Drosophila melanogaster: one gene and its partners. The protein of the gene in region 1 purifies or fractionates together with the protein of each later gene. This does not show direct contact. Each region holds a gene or a part of one and is shown in the gene's direction. Other genes may lie near its edges.

Region 1 (4,221 bases):
GCGAGCAACAGCAGGACCTCTGCCAGCGGAGACGCCAACAGCAGCCGAGGCAGCGTGATTGTGGGCGTCCGTCGCTGGTCAATGTCTCTATACTATACCTGAAAAAATAATGGGCCTGGACAGGGACACGGCTCGGAGCACTCAAAAAAAAATATATATGCTGCTTTCGAGGGAGTCACTAGAATCTCTGGAGATCTGGAGATTCGCATATGCTGACATACTTTAAGCCCAAAAGAAGTACGACTATTGCATACCGAAGCGAAAGTCTAAGCCCTGTGGCACCATTTATAATAGCATCTTAATGGACTTCTAAACGTTTCAGTTGACACTTCTCACAATTAAGTTAATAATCTTTTTTATTATACAATAATATAAGTTTCTAATACATCTAACGTATACTTAATAATATTGCGTATACGTCATTCATATATAAGCCCTTTAGTTAGTTTGATTGTGTATTATTTGATTACTTTTGTTCAATTTATTTCTTAACTATGTATATGTATTTATTAAATAAACTACGTTTTTTTTGAAGGAATATTGTAATATACAATATTTTTCCAGCGTAGTCATCCCTGTAGACGAACCCTAATTAATGAGCGACAAGTGCGCGCCCAGACTCTGGGCTTTTATGAAGTTGGTGCCGAAGCTCGAAGATGAAACGCTGCTGGATGACTGGCTAATATTTTAGTAGGCGGAGGAGACAGCGACAGCTGCAGCGATTTATAAAGACACAGGCGGAATTCCAAGGAAATAATGTCACAGCTGGCTGGTAGGAAGAAGAATGAATCCAGCAACATGAGCACACTTATCATTTTTATCATTCCAGTTGACCTTGAAAAAATCGTTGAATGCCCATTGCGATAATCCCCCAAATTGGCCTACTGTGCGGGAGAGCTTATAGCAGACGAGCTTACGAGCATGAATTATAGAAACCAATAAAATTAAGTGCATTAATTTATTTCTGTTGCTCTTGCGCTGGCATACGAAATTGGAAGTTGGCACTGCCAAAAGCCAAGGGCAAAATAATCAAATATAACAAAAACGATAACAGGATTATATTTGATGCATACACTTATAGGGATGCACATGCAATCATAAAGCCGCTGGGCAGATTACATTTGGAGAGCACTGTGTGTGTGTGTGTGTTGTTGTTGTAGCCGCCAACACAATGAAATGAACAACAGACATCCTTTAATATCATTAATTGCGGCCGAAATGGATTAATCAAGAAAATGACTTGTAATTGTACCAAATAGACAATGAACGGTATATGCATTTTAGCTAATATTATTCATAGTGCCGAACTTAATATATAACAAAATTATTCCTATTAGCTTGTTCGTCATTTTGAAACATATGCGAACTAAATAAAGTTTGTATTTCTAATAGCATTTCTCAAGTTTTTATCGTTAATTAGCTCAAGAAATTTCAATATTCTAGCTAATAAACCATTTTAATAGGTATGTGATACGGTTCGAGTCCGAGCTAGTTATCTGTGTTTTGTACCCACTGCCTTAACTGTCCTAATACTATAGATGGCGCTTTAGTTAGCACTGACTGTTAACTCAGTTCTGTTAAGCGACTGAAAAACGCACGAGCCCAATAATCAATACGGTCTTTCCAACGTGCTTGAGCTTGGTCACTCTGCCATCATCGTGCGAATTAAAGTTCAGCAGCCAAAAATGCCGGAAGGGAATAAAATCGACTTGTCCGGGGACGGTGGCGTCCTAAAGGAGATCCTGAAAGAGGGCACGGGCACAGAGACGCCGCACAGCGGATGCACTGTGTCCCTGCACTATACGGGTCGCCTGGTCGATGGCACGGAATTCGATTCCAGCCTCAGTCGCAATGAGCCCTTCGAATTTTCGCTCGGCAAAGGTGAGTGTGTCGCCGGCAAATTCGCGAAACTTCTATTTAATGTACTTGCCACCGGACACCTGCAGGCAATGTGATCAAGGCCTTCGACATGGGAGTTGCCACCATGAAGCTCGGCGAGCGCTGCTTCCTAACATGTGCTCCAAACTACGCTTACGGAGCTGCCGGCAGCCCGCCAGCCATTCCGCCGGATGCTACTCTGATTTTTGAGGTAGGAAATGAAATTTTATTGGTTAACTAAATATGGAAAATTCCAGATTTTATGCGTTTCTTAAGAATTTTACATATAGATGAGTAACTCCTAACTAACCGTTAAAACTCTTCCTCTTAGCTGGAGATGCTCGGCTGGAAGGGCGAGGATTTGAGTCCCAACCAGGACGGAAGTATTGACCGCACCATTTTGGAAGCCAGCGATAAAAAGCGCACTCCCAGCGATGGCGCCTTTGTCAAGGGTAGGTTTATCACATTCATGCGGTGACTATGTATATCTTATGCGGTTATTCAAATACAGCTCACATTTCTGGTAGTTTCGAGGGCCGCGTGTTTGAGGATCGCGATGTGGAGTTTGATTATGGCGAGGGTAAGGCCATCGGCATTATCGATGGTGTCGAAATTGCCCTGGAGAAGATGAACGTAGGCGAGACCTCCAGGTAAGATAGATCCCTTTGAGCATTAGAAGCTTTTCAGACTAACTTATAAACGCGCGTAATAGAATCAAGATCCAGGCCAAGTATGCATTTGGAGCAAAGGGCAATGAGGAGTTTAAGATTCCACCAAATGCCACAGTGGAGTACACAGTAAAGCTCGTCGACTGCGGCAAGGGACTGGAGGAGTGGAAACTGAGCGACGAGGAGCGCCTGGCTGAGGCCAAGGTGTACAAGGAGAAGGGCACCAACTACTTTAAGAAGGAGAACTGGGCTCTAGCCATTAAGATGTACACCAAGTGCAAGAACATTTTGCCCACCACTGTCCATACCAATGAGGAGGTGAAGAAGATTAAGGTGGCCACGCACAGCAACATTGCTCTGTGCCACCAAAAGTCCAACGATCACTTCGAAGCCAAGCAGGAGGTGAGTACATGCGCTCAAATCGGATAATTTATACATTTGACTATTTTATATTAGTGTAATGAGGTTTTGGCTTTGGATAAGAACAATGTAAAGGCTCTCTACCGTCGTGGCCAATGCAACTTGACTATCAATGAGCTGGAAGATGCACTAGAGGACTTCCAAAAGGTAACCAAGATAAACGTATATTTATTGAGTTAATACAATGTATTGCTATTTATTCGATTAGGTCATCCAATTGGAGCCTGGCAACAAAGCGGCTGCCAACCAAGTGATCATCTGCAAGCAGAAACTCAAAGAGAGCAAGAACAAGGAGAAGAAACTCTATGCCAACATGTTCACCAAACTGGCTGCCAACGACAAAGAGGTATTGCCTACAACTGAATAAATTCAAATAAAGTACAACATTTCTATATCGTTCCTCCGCGTGTTTTCTGCGTTCCTTGAAATCACCAATTTTTCACCGATTGTTAGACCGAACCTCCGCGGGAAACTGACGTGCTGAGCAAGTGCGGAGAGTGGTCTGAAGAGGATGCCAAGCGCGAAGCAGAATTGACGCTGGAGCGCGACAATATAATCATGATCTAATTCAGATCGACTAGTGCTTTAAGAAATATTCCCTAGGGTTTATAATCCCACATCGAAAATCCAGTAATGTAATGAAGAAATGGTCTTAATGCTTATACGAAATAAATATAAACGCTTTGAGAGCTATGTATATCGATGGTCAAGTATTTCGTGGTAGCAGCTGAAAGCTGGGTCTCGTCTCCCTATCTCGCAGCCACAATGGCGATGTGGGCACCTGTGACTTAATATATTCGGAGGCCTTAAAACAGTATCCGGAACAGAATTTCTTGCGTTCTGTGATGTCGTATACTTTGTTTTTGGAAGCGGAGATACTGTACTTTTGCTTGGGAACGCTAAAAGAGTAGTTATAAAGGATAATTATTGGAAGAACCTCTAGATTCTGTTGGAACACTTACTTTTCTAGAACTGTCGAACAAAGTGGATATCCGCAAAGTTTGTTTATTTCCCGCTCATCCACTATGTCTGAATAATTTGGGGGGCCAATCTCACAGAGCTGCGTGTACAGGAAATGCTTAGTCTACCCGTCAAGCTTTTAATTTGCATTATTTTACCAGGGACAGGAACTCGGGCTCCGGTATTCCGGGCTCCAAAAGCCGCACCACGATTTCATGGGCTCTCGCAATCGCCGCTCGTTTCTTTACCACCGCCGCTATCAGTTGTTGTCTGGAAAACAGTGAGTACTTCACTC
Region 2 (7,646 bases), on another chromosome or scaffold:
TTACGATTTTGTGCTGCATACTTTCGGGCTTTAAAGTTTCCGAATGACTAAATGCATGTTTCTTCAACGCAGTCCAGGAATGGCTGCATGCAGTCGAAAAATGGACTGCCAAATGGAATGTGGCCATTAACTCCTCGAAGTCAGCCTGTGTAACTTTTACCCTGCGGCCCGGAACTTGCACAGATCTGACTTTTGATGGAAACAATGTCACATCGCACTGCTACCTAGGAGTTCATCTAAATCGGGGACTGACCTGGAGGGCCCACATCTCGTCGGTCAAATTCAAGTCACTGGCGAAACTAAAAAAGCTCGACTGGCTCTTCCACTCCAGTAAATAATACACATTAAGAAGTATATATATAAAGATATACTGAGAGTATATCATATTTTGTATTGATCAAGACGTTACTTATTATTGGTATACATAAATAATATATGTAGTACATATTATGTACATAAGTATGTTTCGTGGCAAACCCCCGTAATCTCTTTTATTTATGACGATCAATGCAATAATAAGGATGATCGGTGAGGGGGGTGCGGGATCATGGACTAATTGAATTAATAAGATAACGCTTAGCAACAAACAAGTCGGTATCCATGTAGGTGGGCCCTCCCACGGGATGGGCAGGCTTATGGAGATCGTGGGTAATCTCAATATTGCATTGCCTGACCATGGGTGGAAGGAAGTCCTCGATTAGATTACAATTCACCGGCGACTTATCAAGAGTTATTCATAACAATAATATAAACGAATTGTGTCGAAAATTATTTATACACATTGGTAAAATGTAGAAGCTCGGGAGATTCTTTTAATGGTGCCACTGACCCACAGAAAAAAGTCTACTAATTCGGAATATATGGGGGGCGAACAGTCGAGACTCAGAAACCTGGATAACGGATATCCTTTTAAATAAAATATACGTGTGTATGTATGTTAAAATTTTAAATCTTGATATTATATTAATAATAATTTTGTACTACAAAGTGAGATAGTCTGGGTTTCAAATAAATTCCCCTTCCTTACTTGCACACATTGGGTTTCCCAATGCGTAATCTGAAATTCGGAGAAAAGTTTAAAGTTCGCGCCAAAATAGGCAAGTTTTGACTGTATAATGCGAGATACATTGCAGTTCCATTGTCAGCATGACAATGTGGCGTTCGTTATTAGGCCGGTGCTTTTGAACCAATTAAGGCTGCAGCCAATTGATCGCGCCAAGGTGAAGGTGCTTGGGTGCTGGGAGGAGCAGGAGGAGCTGGTCAGACGTTGGGTGGCAGTAACACGTCCGATCCATTACCAATATGCGGTGTGAGGGGGAGTGGTGGCCCCCATAGAACCGTTAATATTTTTTTTGGAGAGCGCCTAAAAAAGCTGCTTTTTGTAAGAGCGCCAACGGCTTGGCGCCGACATTTCGATACCTTGGCGGCTGTACTTGGCTTTGCATCTGGTAATCCGATGCTCAGCCGATGCCACATCATTAAATTTTTAATTTGTGAGACAAACAAAAAGGAAACGTGCAAAAGCCGTGCCGCAGAACGAGAGCGAATCAAATGAGAGCGAGAGGCCATTAACTTGCATCTGGCAATGCCGTAGCCGCAACGCGAAAGTATATAACAGCCGGCACGCCGCAGAGCTTTTCATTCGCTCAGAAAATTTCAACAGTGAACATCTTGTGCAGAACACAGACCAAATATTCCAAAAATGTCTTTCGTTGGCAAGAAGTACAAGCTGGACAAGTCCGAGAACTTCGATGAGTACATGAAGGAGCTGGGTAAGTTGCCAAAACTAATTCGCAGTGCATCAAAAATAGAAAACCAAAGTGCTCGAGAGAGCGAGAGCGGGAGTGGAGGGAGAGAAAAGAAGCCGAAAACACGCCACCGAAAATCGACCGGCCGGCATTTTTCGCACTAGTGTGCAAAAAGTTTCATTGGCCAAACGAGAGGGAAAAAAGTAAATGTCTTCCGGAAAATGTTATATCAACTGAAGATTATGAATGAATTCGACTGTTAAAATAGTTTAGCTACATGCATAAATTGACACCTCATTGAATCTGCTGATGTGCGTATGTGTGTGTCAGATAAAATCAATAGAGAATAGGACCAGAGAAAGAGATGCACATCTGCAGCAATAAAAACGTGCTCCAGTTATTCACCTCACCCTCTTTCTCAACTTTACAGTTGCGAATCGGAGGACAAGCAGTATAAAATCCGTAAATGGTTATCTGCGGTAGTCATAAACCCAAAAACTAATTAAGTGTGGGGCCTGAACTTTGCTCCCCTTTTTTGAGTCACCTCCGTCAGCTTTCCATGGGACCGAAATCATCATAGTGCCATTAGCTTTTGCGACAGGTTTTATCTATTTGTGTACTAGATTTTGGGAGAAAGTCTCGCAGTGAACTTTGCACTAGACTACAAGCTTTATAGCTGCGATGATCTTTGCCCGGCTGTCAATTTAGACAACAATGAAACACCAGATATAAACTACATATAGGACACATTCGACTCTCTTACCGATCAAAGTGCAATTTCTATTGCAATCGTGATTATACTATATGGTGCCACTAAAACTGATCAATACCATCGCTTCCTGTCTAGACGCGCCATAGGGACTAGTGGCATTTGGTAACCAGAGACGGGCGTCCAGATTTATTTACCAGACCACCAGTTCGTCAGAACTTTTCGCCTACACACTTTGCGGCTTCGGTTTAATGGTAGACTTGGTCCGAAAGCCACGTACTTCTCAATTTTCAAGCCCAAACAAATCTAAAATCAACCTGCCGTTGGGGCCTCGCAGCACTTATCAGTTGTCGTACATATATAAATGCGATAAACTATATGCCTATTTATGTACACACATTTGTAGTATATACAATGTCGCAAAAGGCACGATAATTAGGCGCGATTACGGATTTTGCACTTTGGGCAGCCACCCCTATCATAGACCACGGTTCGCAATTGCAGGCCAGTCTAATCTATTCAAGGTTCTCCTGTCATATACGATGCATATAAATCGATCTCTGGTACAGTTGCTGGGTTCCCATGAGTGGGAACCTGGCGACTTATCGCGCCACGCCAGTTGACACTTGACTTGAGGGCACTGGACAAAAGAACAAGTTGGTGGTGGTCCATACATAATTGAACATAATTGATTGGACCACTTGTTGGTTTGATGTCTGACAATGTACTAGATTGGAAATAATACATGTGCCCTATTTGCTGGCACATTCGTAAGGTACCAGTGATTCACACTTTGTTTTTGATTCAACGTTTCATTTGGCGAAACTTCTTTCAAATAAAAATATAAATGCAAAATTACTCATACAGCTACGTGCATGCATATAGTATTTCAGTAATTACAAGTCCCATAAAATTAAGTGACAAATTTTAGTACTTAAACACGATTGATTGTTCACAATCGTTAAGTTATCATTTAATGATGGAATTGCTTTGCTTATCTTTCGATGGTAATTATCAGCACTTCAAAGGTTTACGATTTGGAACGTCAGCAAAATGGATCTTGACCACTTAAGCCAGTAAAATATATATTTACACTGCTTGAATGGCATTTATATTCACAGTTCTGCCCTCAAACAACATATGTATATATGGAATGCTGCACCGAGATAAGGTGGTGCTTTGCCAGATCTATATTTAAATGCATGGAGGGGCTTGCCAATTGATAAGAGCGGAGATGAGGATGAGGGAGGAGACGACGGCCCGCATTGTTCGTTAACCTTGAGCACGACTTTTGACGTTACAGCGGAACGGAATCTGCAGGGAACTTCATGGCTCGGCTTTATTATTTTTAATTAAATATGATATGATTTGCATTGTGAGCGCTTTGGGGTCCCCAACTTTGTTGGGCTAATTCAATTATGTGCAGTCTGCCCCATCATTCATCTTTCGGTGCGATCTTTGATTTCCTTACATTCTCGTGAGATGGAACTTCATTAATTTCTTTTCCCTTTCCACTTGCAGGCGTCGGTCTGGTGACGCGCAAGATGGGCAACAGCCTGAGCCCCACAGTGGAGGTGACCTTGGAGGGCGATACCTACACCCTGACTACCACCTCCACCTTCAAGACCTCTGCCATCAGCTTCAAGCTGGGCGTTGAGTTCGACGAGGAGACCCTGGACGGTCGCAACGTCAAGAGCATCATCACCCTGGATGGCAACAAGCTGACGCAGGAGCAGAAGGGCGACAAGCCCACCACCATCGTCCGCGAGTTCACCGACAACGAGCTGATCACCGTAAGCGCTTACTATACCTTGCCGTATATCATCACACCCACCTAACTGATCCAATGCCTCCCCCACAGACCCTCACCATCGGCAACGTTAAGTGCGTGCGCGTCTACAAGGCCGTCTAAGAGACTGATCTAAAACTATAATATCCATACGACTACATGCATTAAAACTAACTCAGATAGCCAATATTCTTGTTGACTAACAGTGAACTAAACCAAATCAAATGGAACTGCACGCTCTGCCCAATGTTAATTTATAATCGCACCCGTACACCCGCAGTCGGTGTATGTGGGAATACTCCTCGTACTCGGGGACCAATTTCCGAATGCATTTGAATAAACTATTACTTGAAGTGCTTTTAAAACATTCCGACTTTCTTTTACACTTCGCTTTTAAGCTTGTTGTTGCTTAGGTTAATGACGAAATGTAAGCTTAGACACAGCAATCAAAATTATATTAGTTTTAGTTATAAATTTATATTTTGGCATTTTTCCAACTATTTCCCAAATTTACGGTTTTGTGAGTAAGCAAGTAACGTGTTTTCATCGAAATAATTTTAGTTCCTACCTAAAAAAGAATTTTTAAGTGGCTTGTTTGTGAGGCGAACAATGCCAGATATTTTAGTTTGGCTTGAAAGTTATCGTTAAGGATCCCGAAATTCGTAGGGTGTCATATTTTCAATGGCTAAAGGGATCGAGAATACCAAATTCAATTACATTTTCAATTGGAGGTCATATTTTTGAATCGATATGAATTATAAAGTTTCAAATTTCAAACTGTTAAAAGAAATTCCACCTTTGGGGTTATAGAAAGCATGTTTCTTACTATCGTTTCTTATTGTATCGTTTATTGAAGTTGTATGTATAAAGAGAAGAGGCACAAGTCTGAATGGTCTCTGATTTGCTTTTGGGCTGCGGATGTTCTGCCCACGCGTTTCCGTTTCCGTTGCGATGCATTTGCTCTTGCTAATTGAGTATAAAACACAATGCTGCTGGGGCTTTTGCACTGTTCGTGTGAATGGGGTCTGTTGCAAGTGCGTGCCACAAGTGTGGGTGGGTGGCATCTGCTGCATTTGGGGGCTGGCGCAAGCGCACACGTTATCAGCGGACAGTTGGCAGCACGGCCACACTTTCGCCGGGTTTTTTTTGTTAACATTCGTCGTTTGCCGGCGGCGTTAGAACTACGTGTATCCGCATGACGCCGAGTTGCGTCAGTCGGTAAATAGTAGACACTTAATTGTTGGTCAATTGGGCGTTATAAATTAAAAAGCAAAAGCGCCGTTATCGATTTTATTAGTGTAGCACTAAATGCTCTGATAACCTGGATAAAACTACCGCGTGGGTGTGCGTAGGCTACGCGCATTGTGTGTGTGTGAACTCATTGTGTAATCGCTAAAGAAAAAATGTTGGTCTACTTTGCGGCGTACCTAACATTCAAAATTTAAAGTCAAATGTTCTTCTTGTTGTTCTTCAGCGGAGCTTTTCCAGTCCGCCCCAAAAGCTCTGTCCACTTTGTTGTTGCTGGACAAACGGGTTTCCGATTAGAGAGAGAAAGAGAGATCTTCACTGCGGTGTCAGCAAAAAAACGTTACTTTGGCGCTACTCTTCGCACTCTCTGCACAGAAAAAAGTTCTCCATAAAGTAATCGAAACGCACTTATATAGCTATCAAAATACCTTTATCAATGTGGAATCAATCTTTAGAAACTTAATATTCCATTATTAGGATCGAACTGATGTATGTGTATGTTACTCGTTTAGGATCGTTTACTAGATAGATCCACGTATCATTTCTTTTATTTTCAATTTCTGATTGATTTTCAAAATAGAAATATTTTACTGTGTACATTACTGAGCGCGGGGAGAGTGGATACCGCTGAAGTGCTGTTGTTTACAAAACGCCGACCATTGGAATTACAGTGCGCCCCTGATGCAGTGAACTATAGAGAATAGCGTGCTCAGTCTATCGATTCAATTTATTTTACAAAAAGTTTGATATTTAGAAGAATCTACCATTTTAAATCTATTGGGATAGAGTTGTTCGGACTGCTGACTGTTGGATCTGAAAATCCAAAGTCCGTTAGTTCCGGGATGCACTGTATCGCTTTCGCTCGTCGATTGGAAAATGGAATTTTTTCGTAGCCCCGATCAGTTGAGATTCAACCGCTGTCCCCATCGCCACTTCACTTCACCGCTGCCTGGGCTTTCCAAAATTATAATTATTTCGGTTTTTTGAATTCTAATGTGAGTAGTAGAGAACAATACCCGATAGCAAAGCTGCATGAGCAAAAATTAAGCGCGACTTTTGCCAGACAGCAGTGCGCTTTGAGTGTGTGGGTGTGGGCTTAATCAACCGCTTTTGAAGTCTGTGTGTGTGTGTGGAAGTCGGTAGAAACTTTCCAGTGCCGACTTATCAGTGGGTATTGTTTATGTTTATCCAGATTTCCAGACCGATACGGAAATTGGCTTAAACAGCGGCATAAAATGAATAATTATGAACTTGCAACTGTGTGCGATTATAATTTATGGTCATGCAAAAGTTATGTAATCGCACTGAAACAATATTAATTTGTCAAGTGCAAAGAGCGAAACAACCAACGAGCCTGCTGATATTGATATAGTACCGCTCCCACTCAAACCGTCCCAGACTATATCACCCGATCTTAAGTAATCACTATTGAGATTTTCGAACATTTGGTTTTTCGCTCTGTTTGTGTTAGTTTGTCGACTCTTCGTTCACAGTTTTCGAACCTTGTCCCCAAGGTGAAATGAATATGTTTTGGGGGAAAAGAGAGTCAACGATACAATGGGAAGTTACCTATGATAATGGCATTGATTACTAACTTTAAATTGGAGCCCGCTGGAGCCATTCCAGCCAAGTGGAATTCTTTTCCTCATAGAAATTGCATAACTAGTAGAGCAGAACTGCAATTAAACAAACATTTAATACGATAATTAAGGTCGATATTCGCATAGATACGCGGTTCACGATTGTACGTCACAGATATAGTTAAATTGTTTAAATAGATGATAAGGAATACTTCAGATATCATTATCTATGAAGAACAAATGCCATATTTTCATACAAGTTTTGGGGAATATTTTGAAATCCGCGCACCCACGCAGAACGAGTCTATTTTGATCCATTTACAACAATAGGATATAAATAACATTCAATCGGACAGAAATCAGCTGGAATTCACTCAGTACAATAAATGAATTCTACTATTTTCTTTCAGCTAATTCCCCACCTAACACCCAGTCAGCATGGATCGCTCCGCCTTCGCGTCCCTTGTCAGCCCGTACCGCCGACGTCCGTGGATGACGGAGCACGGAGCGGCGGCTGCGGACAGCGGCCAGGTGGGCCTTAAGGGCATCGTCGCCGGCGGTATTACGGGCGG
Region 3 (3,227 bases), on another chromosome or scaffold:
AAAGCAGAAAGGAAAACATGCGGCGTGGGCGATTGCGGTGCTTATCAAAATCAGCTGTTCGGAAGCTGACTTCAAGCGTTAGCTTTCAGGCGCAAAAGCTCTTCCTACAGTCACCGATGCGAAAATAGAATAGCTTTTGGAACACTAATATCAGTCTCAAGTTGAGACTCTCAGCCAAAATATTGGTTGACTTACATTTGTAAGCCATTTTGTTAATGCATCAAGCTGGTAAGCAAAATCGTCTGCTGGGGCATACTTTCAGGCGAAAACGAATATTTTTATACATCCTTTTGGCGGCGGGTTTCTTTCTGATGTTTTTTTAAATGTAACATATTTATAAGGATTAATATCAACGATATGCGCGGCCAAATTGAATTCTTGCGGCTATAAGTGAAAATCCTCATAAGTTTTAATTAAGAGAGGTAGTCAAAAAGAAACACATTTTCTTACATTGTTGTTATTGTTTTGTTCTTATTATTAGGGTTGTTTTTTAAACAAGATAATTTGTGAGCTTAAATAAGCTGGGTTACAAAATATCGAATATTTTTAAACTAATTTTATTAATTGTTATTAATAAGTAGGTCATTAAATTTTTAACGATTAAAACAAATTCTATTTTCGGTATCACAAAACTGATAAGTAATGGAAAATTACTACAAAACGTTTATTATAGAGACGAAGGTTTCTGAATTCTTAGATTAGACCTTATAACTAGCACCCTCTTACGAATGTACTAGTAACTTAGGAAATACGATCGAGCTATTGGAAGTGAATCCAATTTTGTTAAAGATAACCCACCTCTAAATAAATTTAACACTTGCTGCATTTTGAATATCCATGATGACTATATCTTTTATTTTAATTTCAACCATCTGAATCCCATTTGGGTACTGTCTTCTGAGTTAGCGATCTGCCCATCCGACTTTCCAAAACCCATTCGAACTATTTGTGTGTTTTACTGAAAAAAAAACCTATGCTGGTGTGCTTAATATTCGATAGACCCACGCACACAGTCTCATGATTTCACTCGCTCTTCACTTTCAATTGGAGGCTCGTTTTGTGTACGTGAACGGGAGAGCCGTGCGATCTATGGAAGTGTGCGATTTTTGGAGGCACTCACAAATACCATCACACTGCTCGGCGCTCTCTTGCTCTCAATATCCGCCTATCGATGTGGCTGTATGTTTGCAGGTGTTGGTGCTTCGCCTCTATTTACCAATACCATTTAACATTTAAATGCTCTCTGGCTCTCTGTTTATGTTTGGAACCGGCTTATCTGTCAGCTGGACCAGATCAGCTGTTTGGATGTTAGATGCTAAAGGAGTTTGCGCCTATTGGACTTTTAAAATGAGATTAATGAAGAACCAAATAAGGAAAACAGTACTTTATTCTAAGATACTTCCAGAAGCATTTCGTCTCAAAGTCCAAATTATGTACCACGTTTTGTAGAGGCCCCTGTCGAGTTTCACACACATGACACCATGCTCAAGGTTTCCCACTCCCCCCACCAAAGCAAACTACTCCACAATCTGTTCAGTATTGTTTTATAATCTGTTCACAGAATAATATACTACAAACAAACACGCGCGTTGAGGGAGCGCCCATTTCCTATCTCTATCGCACCCGCTATTTACGTCGATCACGTTGGGTATAAAAGACAGCCAGCTCTCCCAGTCAGTATTCAGTAAGCAACAAGTGTGCGAGCTAAAAGCAGCTACCAGTTGAGCAACTAAGTTTTTTTGAAACTAATAATCAAACAGCAAGATGCGTTTGGGACAGACCGTACCTAACTTCGAGGCCGACACAACCAAGGGGCCCATTAAATTCCACGAGTGGCAGGGCAACTCGTAAGTGCCATCAAACCCTTTTTCTCTGATCGAATCTTACCAATTCTTCTTCGGATCGCCAGCTGGGTGGTGCTCTTCTCTCACCCCGCCGACTTTACTCCCGTCTGCACCACTGAGCTGGGCAGGATTGCGGTGCACCAGCCGGAGTTTGCCAAGCGGAACACCAAGTGCCTGGCACATTCCGTTGACGCATTGAACTCGCACGTGGACTGGGTGAACGACATCAAGAGCTATTGCCTGGACATTCCCGGGGACTTCCCCTACCCGATCATCGCCGACCCTACTCGCGACCTGGCCGTCAGCCTGGGCATGCTCGACGAGGAGCAGAAGAAGGATCCCGAGGTGGGCAAGACCATCCGCGCCCTGTTCATCATCAGTCCGGACCATAAGGTGCGCCTCTCCATGTTCTACCCCATGTCCACTGGTCGCAACGTTGAGTAAGTACCTCTTTCGGGCTACAACTATTGTTAATCTCAACTGACGATCCTTTAATCTTACAGCGAGATTCTGAGGACCATTGACTCCCTCCAGCTGACTGATCGCCTCAAGGTGGTGGCCACTCCCGCCAACTGGACCGTAAGTTTTTCTACCCACTTAATGCGAACTGTTCCGAACTAATTAATTCTGTTTCATAAACAGCCTGGCACTAAGGTCATGATCCTGCCCACTGTCACCGATGAAGAGGCTCATAAACTCTTCCCCAAGGGATTTGATAAGGTATCCATGCCGTCTGGAGTAAACTACGTCCGCACCACTGACAACTACTGACACAAAACCGTTCCCCATTTGTGATCCATTCAATAATGTGCCGTATTTCCTGACATATACTATATACTATGTGCAGTTCATTTATTTAATAAAAAATTATTTTAACAAAATATCCAAACTATTTTAATTGATTTAATGAAAGAAATTTTTGGAGAATAATGTAATCCAATCAGAATTAGGGGAGTTACTGCGATTTTGACGTTCTTTTAGATTGTATAATGTCTGTTTTTTATTTCCTTGCGGATGGTATAGTGATTTTAATCTATTGATGTATTTCTATTGCAGTTGGTAAATAAGTCAAAACTGTATAATATATACGATGGAATAATAGTGAAAATGAGATGGTGTACCTTTTTTGACAAATTATTTGGTTTTTTATTTTATCAAAATCGTAGTGTTCTTATTCGGAATGCATCAGTTTTTAAAACCATTAGTCGTAGAGTAAAAGGATATACTGGGATTTCTTAAAAAGCATAAAACAAATAAAATGATGCCTTATCGACCATATGAAGTATATAAATTCTTGATCATGATCAATATCCGAGTCGAGGCTGAGCTGTCCGTCTGCATGAACGCCTTTGAAATTTATTCATTTTATTATACATATGTTGA
Region 4 (4,808 bases), on another chromosome or scaffold:
CACTTTCTGACTTTGCGTTGCCTTTCAGCTCAATTAACTAGCACGGAATCTACCTACGAACTTTCTTGCATGAGCACACAAAAATGAGTTTAGAAAATGTATTAATTATTTATTTATTATTTTATTTAAATTAAAAAAATAGTCTTTTTGGATTATCAAATAACTCACGTATTATTTTTAAATATGAGTGTTAAAGTTAACGAATCAGTGCTTCGAAAACTGTGAGTGGTTGGGATTTCCCCGGGGGGTTGGTGGGTGGCAATGTCGCAGTGTTTGTGAGCGTGTGTGCGGGTGTTTGGTGTGTGTGTTGGGGGTGTCGCATCTAAGAAAACGGAAGCCGGCGGCCCAAACAGAAGAGTGAAGAGCGAAAACAAAACGTCGTCGCTGCGGAGGGGATGCATCTGCATTTGTTTTTGTTCATGCGTTTTCCAAAACAAAGAACGATGATGAGGGGTGGGCGGTGGGTTGGCGCAGGGGGGGCGGCCGCAGAGAGCAGGGAGCCAGGGGAGAGGAAGAGAGAGAGCAAGAGCATTACTCACCGTTGAGGTCCTTGGTTAATTGCGAGCGCGTCGACATTTTGTCTTGTGATATGCGAAATTCTGCGGCGAAAGTTTGGTGAAAATGAAGTCAAACAGGAATGACCAGGAAAAAAGGGCCAACAAAATTGGCTCTAAAGCGGCTGTTTTCGCTGTTGTTGTTGCTGCTGCTACTGCTGCTGTTGTTGGTGTGTTGGTGGTGGTTCAATTTCAATCCTGACACGCCTTGCAGCCCGAAACTGGATTCTTGAGCTGCTCCCGCACTAAAAACCGCACATCGGACATTGCGCCTGTTTGCCCATATTTTCGTTTCGACTGCCTTAATTTATTTTTTGACCAACTCCTTGTTTTTCCAGGCTTTTCTTATTCTTATTCACATTATTTGCACACACGAGCAGGACTTTCGTTTCGGTTTTTCACGCGTTTCCACCCTCGTCGCGGAGTCGGAAAACGGAAAATTCACTGAGTCGCCGCCGCACAGACAGCAGTTGGCTTTTCCTCCGGCACTTGGGCTTAAATCTTCTTGTGTTATTCGTGAATTTAGAACTTTTGCTCCGAGTTCACCAGCATATTTGTGTATATTCGCGTTTTTTTTCACTTCGCCTTCGGCATTTTGGTTTTTTGTTAACGGCAGCCTAGATAGCAATTCCTGAGCGAAGTACTGTTCGGACCGGAGTGCCTTTAATTTATGACTAACTAAATCCGGCGAGTTAAGTTAGTTTGCGAAAATGGCCAACAAATTAATAAATTCACGATCCGCACACCCAGCCAGTTTCAGTTTCAGTTTCGACTCAGTGTGACCAGAGTTGGGAGAGGACCATATTTCTAACTTCGCTGGCGTTTACATCAGCCGTTTTACGCATTCGCAGTTAACAGCAATGCTGCGAGCTCTGCTATTTTCTAGCTAAATTTAAGCTTGTGAAATGTCTAGAATTCATATTTAACATTTTAATCGATTACGACTTCTTTAGTGTTTCGCATTTTCTCATACAGTTTGTTTGGAATTATGGGATATTAGAGTTAGCTTTTATAGTTAAAAGTCGGAATATGAAGGTAAGCTGTTAAGCACTGAAGATATACCAAATCACTACAGTAAACAAAACCACCAAAAATACTACAGCAGCAATGGATTACGCCGCTTTCCAACACAACGTAAGTGGCTTCCTGGTGAATGCCAAACAAACCGATTTCAATTGCCTCAACGACTTCAAGCCGCTTAAATGGCAAACGTGCGCTGTTTATACAAGCTTATTCGTCTGCAGAAGCTCCTGCTGCCGCTCAGTAAGTAGTGTGAACTCCCCAATTCACCTGTTAGCCGCGAATTCACCGCGTGTGCTCATTACGAAAGAGAGTCCGCAACCGACAATCAGCTGTTCGATCGAGTTGTGCGTGCGTGCGAAAGAAAGGGGGGAGAGAGAGAGAGAGAGAGCTAGTAAAGGGAACTGCTGACTGTCAAATGCCGGCGGCCTTAGATTTTTCGACTATTTTCAATAAAATTGTGAAATACCAGTGAAAAATTAAAGCAAATAAATAAAATGCAGGAGCAGGAGATGGAGGTGGAAGTGGGGGACCCGGCAAAGGCGTCGAATTTGCTGCGGCTCATCAAGCAGCTGCTGCTGGAAAAAGCTTACGATGGCGTGCGGATGTTGTTTCAAAGTGCCCAGGAATCGGAAAAGAACACTCGGCTGCTGCCCCACATAGCCATGGATCTATACCATGACGTGTGCTTGGAAAACATTTCCGACGAGGTGAACTCCCAGGAGCCAGAACTATTCGACTGCTCTGACGAGCTGCTCAAGCTGCTGGCCAAGTACGCCCCACTGCATGAGCTTATGCTGGAACTGATGGAGCGCTTGGAAGAGAGTAGCAGTATCAATGTGTTCGGCGCCTATCTGCGGGCCCTACAAGTTGTGCTGCAGCGACAGGGACGCGACAAGCCGCAGGCCGTTGAGTGGAGCCTGAATAGCATCTTCACCCATCTCAAGGATTTGCCCCTGCCCGAATACCTCTCCGAGGGCTATGACGAGGCCCAAGCGCGACTCATAGAGCAAAACGAACAGGTGGAGGACCTTCTGGCTCACTACATCACCGTGGGACTCTTTCGGGAGCCGCTCCGCGATGAAATTCTGCAGCAGGATGTGCGGACACCCAGCCAAATATTCAGGGATTGCGGCGTCAACCGGCGCAACATATTCACTTGCTTCTTCATTCAGCTGTTGGGACGTCCGTTGGCCCTGCTGGAGATGAATCACGCCAAGGAGGACCTTACGAGATCCTACGTGCAGCAGGTTACGGAAAGCCTGACTCAGGATGCCAACCAGTTCCTGGGGGATCCCTTCTACCTGCTCAACCTCGTGGAACAGCGTGCCAGATGGCTAAGGAAACTAGATGCCTCGAGAGGCGTCTACGAGATGAGTTGCCAGAATGTTTTCCTCATCGAGGAGAAACTTCCGCTGCATGCTGTAGCCATGTACTATCACTCGCTGTTCGTGGGTAACCAACTGCCCACAAACGCACCAAAGGTATATGCACCTTTATTCCTATTCGAAACGATTGTCTATCTGGCTGAAGTGCTACTCAGGCAGCAGGAGCCTCCCCTACAATATTGTGGTCTTCGATTAGTGGAACATCATTTGAGTACCTTGCAGCACTCAGTTCCCACCAGCTCCCTCCAGCTGGATGTCCACAAGCGCTTTTGCGAAGCCCTTTGCAAGATTGTGGGCTATTCGCCGCAGGTCGCACTTCGGCAGTTGGGAATTCATGTGCTCAGGCAATTTGTTCTGGCCTTCGATGATCATGGAAAGTATCTCATCCTTAAAAATCTGATGGGGACATTGCAGCACGGCGGACTAATGGGCTACCTCGGAGGGATGTACAAGGACCTTGTTGACAAGGCGCTAGGGCAATCTGGTCCCATGCCGGAAGTTTATAGCGGAAAGCTCTTCCGCGAGATGTTGCTGCTCTGCGTCTGTGTGCTGCCCCATGACGTGAAATCCGATCTTCTTCTGCACTCCGATCGCCTGTGTCATGCTCTGAATATCCTACGCTACTTTGCGGCAAGAGACAAGAATGATGTGACTGGCTTCTGGCAGGCTCTGCCGGAAATTGAAAAGGAATTGCTGGACCCACTGGGAACAGCGCTTAACTTTTCGATGGCCCATTACAAGGCGTACAAGGAGCGCGTCGAAAAGGGTCAGAGTGCTTCGGATGATGAACTAATGCAGCGCCAACTCAACATGCTCGCCGTCAACATAAGCAATAGCGGAATGGCTGGCGGCGACGCGGAGAGCAAGCTGCCCGACATTGGACGGCAGGAGAAGCTCGATGTGCTGGCCAGTTCCATTACCAGCTTGGAAACGCTACAATCTTTATATCTGCGCGCCAGAGAGATCATCGAACAGTCCGCTCGCCTGCGACGGGTTGCCAATCCATCAGATGCTTAGCTTGTAGTTTGTCCACAATGAAAGCGAAATGATAACGTAAACTGTGTGTAAACAGAACCGAAAACGAAATCGAAACTTAAACTGATCTATGTGGTCTGTGGGTTCTTGGCTGGGGCGATAATTAACCGACTAATTGAGCCAGTTGTGGTGTGCTAACTAACTGGCCAGCGATGCGGGCTTTGCATTGCGATCTGCGCACTGAAATCTAGTTGCACACAAATAGGTACACATAGGTGTGCGTACTTAACACCTAAGCTGGCAGCGTTTTTCTAATTTTTATAGCCATTTTAAATATGTTTTTGTATTTCAAATATATGAATTAGCTAGGCAAAAAAACAAAACTCGCTTTTTCAAACCTTAAATGGTGTTACTACAAAGGCTCGCCTTCTTGCAGATGCGACTAGCTCCCGTTTGGCTCCACTGCAGCCGAGACCATTGACATTTTTAATAGCAAGGAGTTATGGAAAGGATGAGAAGAAAGCCAATCTAGAAGACTTTAGAGCCCGCGAGGAGCAGCGCGAAAGGGAGCGGGATGCGGCCGATCAAGCTGCCGAAAAGGCATCACAAAAAGAAGCAGGCGGAGGTGGTGGACTGGGTGCAAAAGGATCAGAGTCTACAGGCCCAGAAGATGACGCCAAGCAAGCCAAGGTGGATGCCATAAGGGCAAAGATCCTGGACGCTGCATTGCAGCATGTGCCCCAGCAGGGCTGGACCCGCCAGGCCATCATTCTGGGTGCCGAGGAAAGTGGCTATCCTAGCGTGGTGCACGGCATGTTTCCCGAGGGTGGCTTCGCGCTGGTCTCCCACTTCAACGGCAAGTGCAACGCCC

The links.
Region 2: the proteins of Fkbp59 (region 1) and fabp purify together in Drosophila melanogaster (affinity purification with mass spectrometry, with the first as the bait; one large-scale study listed by BioGRID). This does not show direct contact.
Region 3: the proteins of Fkbp59 (region 1) and Prx6c purify together in Drosophila melanogaster (affinity purification with mass spectrometry, with the first as the bait; one large-scale study listed by BioGRID). This does not show direct contact.
Region 4: the proteins of Fkbp59 (region 1) and CG30496 purify together in Drosophila melanogaster (affinity purification with mass spectrometry, with the first as the bait; one large-scale study listed by BioGRID). This does not show direct contact.

The regions. Positions count from the first base shown.
Region 1 is NT_033779.5:9,886,458-9,890,678, forward strand, and holds Fkbp59 (FK506-binding protein 59kD), read left to right. Parts: upstream 1-1,547; 5' UTR 1,548-1,685; coding exon 1,686-1,881; intron 1,882-1,946; coding exon 1,947-2,089; intron 2,090-2,209; coding exon 2,210-2,330; intron 2,331-2,389; coding exon 2,390-2,528; intron 2,529-2,590; coding exon 2,591-2,948; intron 2,949-3,002; coding exon 3,003-3,113; intron 3,114-3,174; coding exon 3,175-3,312; intron 3,313-3,419; coding exon 3,420-3,533; 3' UTR 3,534-3,662; downstream 3,663-4,221. Other genes in the region: CG34183 (uncharacterized protein), read right to left, coding at 3,673-3,865, 3,929-4,026, 4,085-4,196. UniProt on the Drosophila melanogaster protein: May have a role in phototransduction; inhibits or prevents Ca(2+) induced stimulation of the trpl ion channel.
Region 2 is NT_033777.3:11,561,044-11,568,689, reverse strand, and holds the start of fabp (fatty acid binding protein), read left to right. Parts: upstream 1-1,635; 5' UTR 1,636-1,702; coding exon 1,703-1,772; intron 1,773-3,578; exon of another isoform or gene 3,579-3,875; coding exon of another isoform or gene 3,876-3,906; intron 3,907-3,978; coding exon 3,979-4,250; intron 4,251-4,318; coding exon of another isoform or gene 4,319-4,369; exon of another isoform or gene 4,370-4,632; intron 4,633-5,397; exon of another isoform or gene 5,398-5,590; intron 5,591-6,393; exon of another isoform or gene 6,394-6,489; intron 6,490-7,484; coding exon 7,485-7,616; coding exon of another isoform or gene 7,617-7,646. Other genes in the region: sea (scheggia), read left to right, coding at 7,513-7,646.
Region 3 is NT_033778.4:10,417,041-10,420,267, forward strand, and holds Prx6c (peroxiredoxin 6c), read left to right. Parts: upstream 1-1,677; 5' UTR 1,678-1,764; coding exon 1,765-1,847; intron 1,848-1,909; coding exon 1,910-2,284; intron 2,285-2,347; coding exon 2,348-2,423; intron 2,424-2,486; coding exon 2,487-2,615; 3' UTR 2,616-2,721; downstream 2,722-3,227.
Region 4 is NT_033778.4:7,697,571-7,702,378, forward strand, and holds CG30496 (uncharacterized protein), read left to right. Parts: upstream 1-1,929; 5' UTR 1,930-2,071; coding exon 2,072-3,979; 3' UTR 3,980-4,308; downstream 4,309-4,808. Other genes in the region: LRR (Leucine-rich repeat), read right to left, coding at 540-576; Coq9 (coenzyme Q9), read left to right, coding at 1,757-1,817, 4,374-4,808.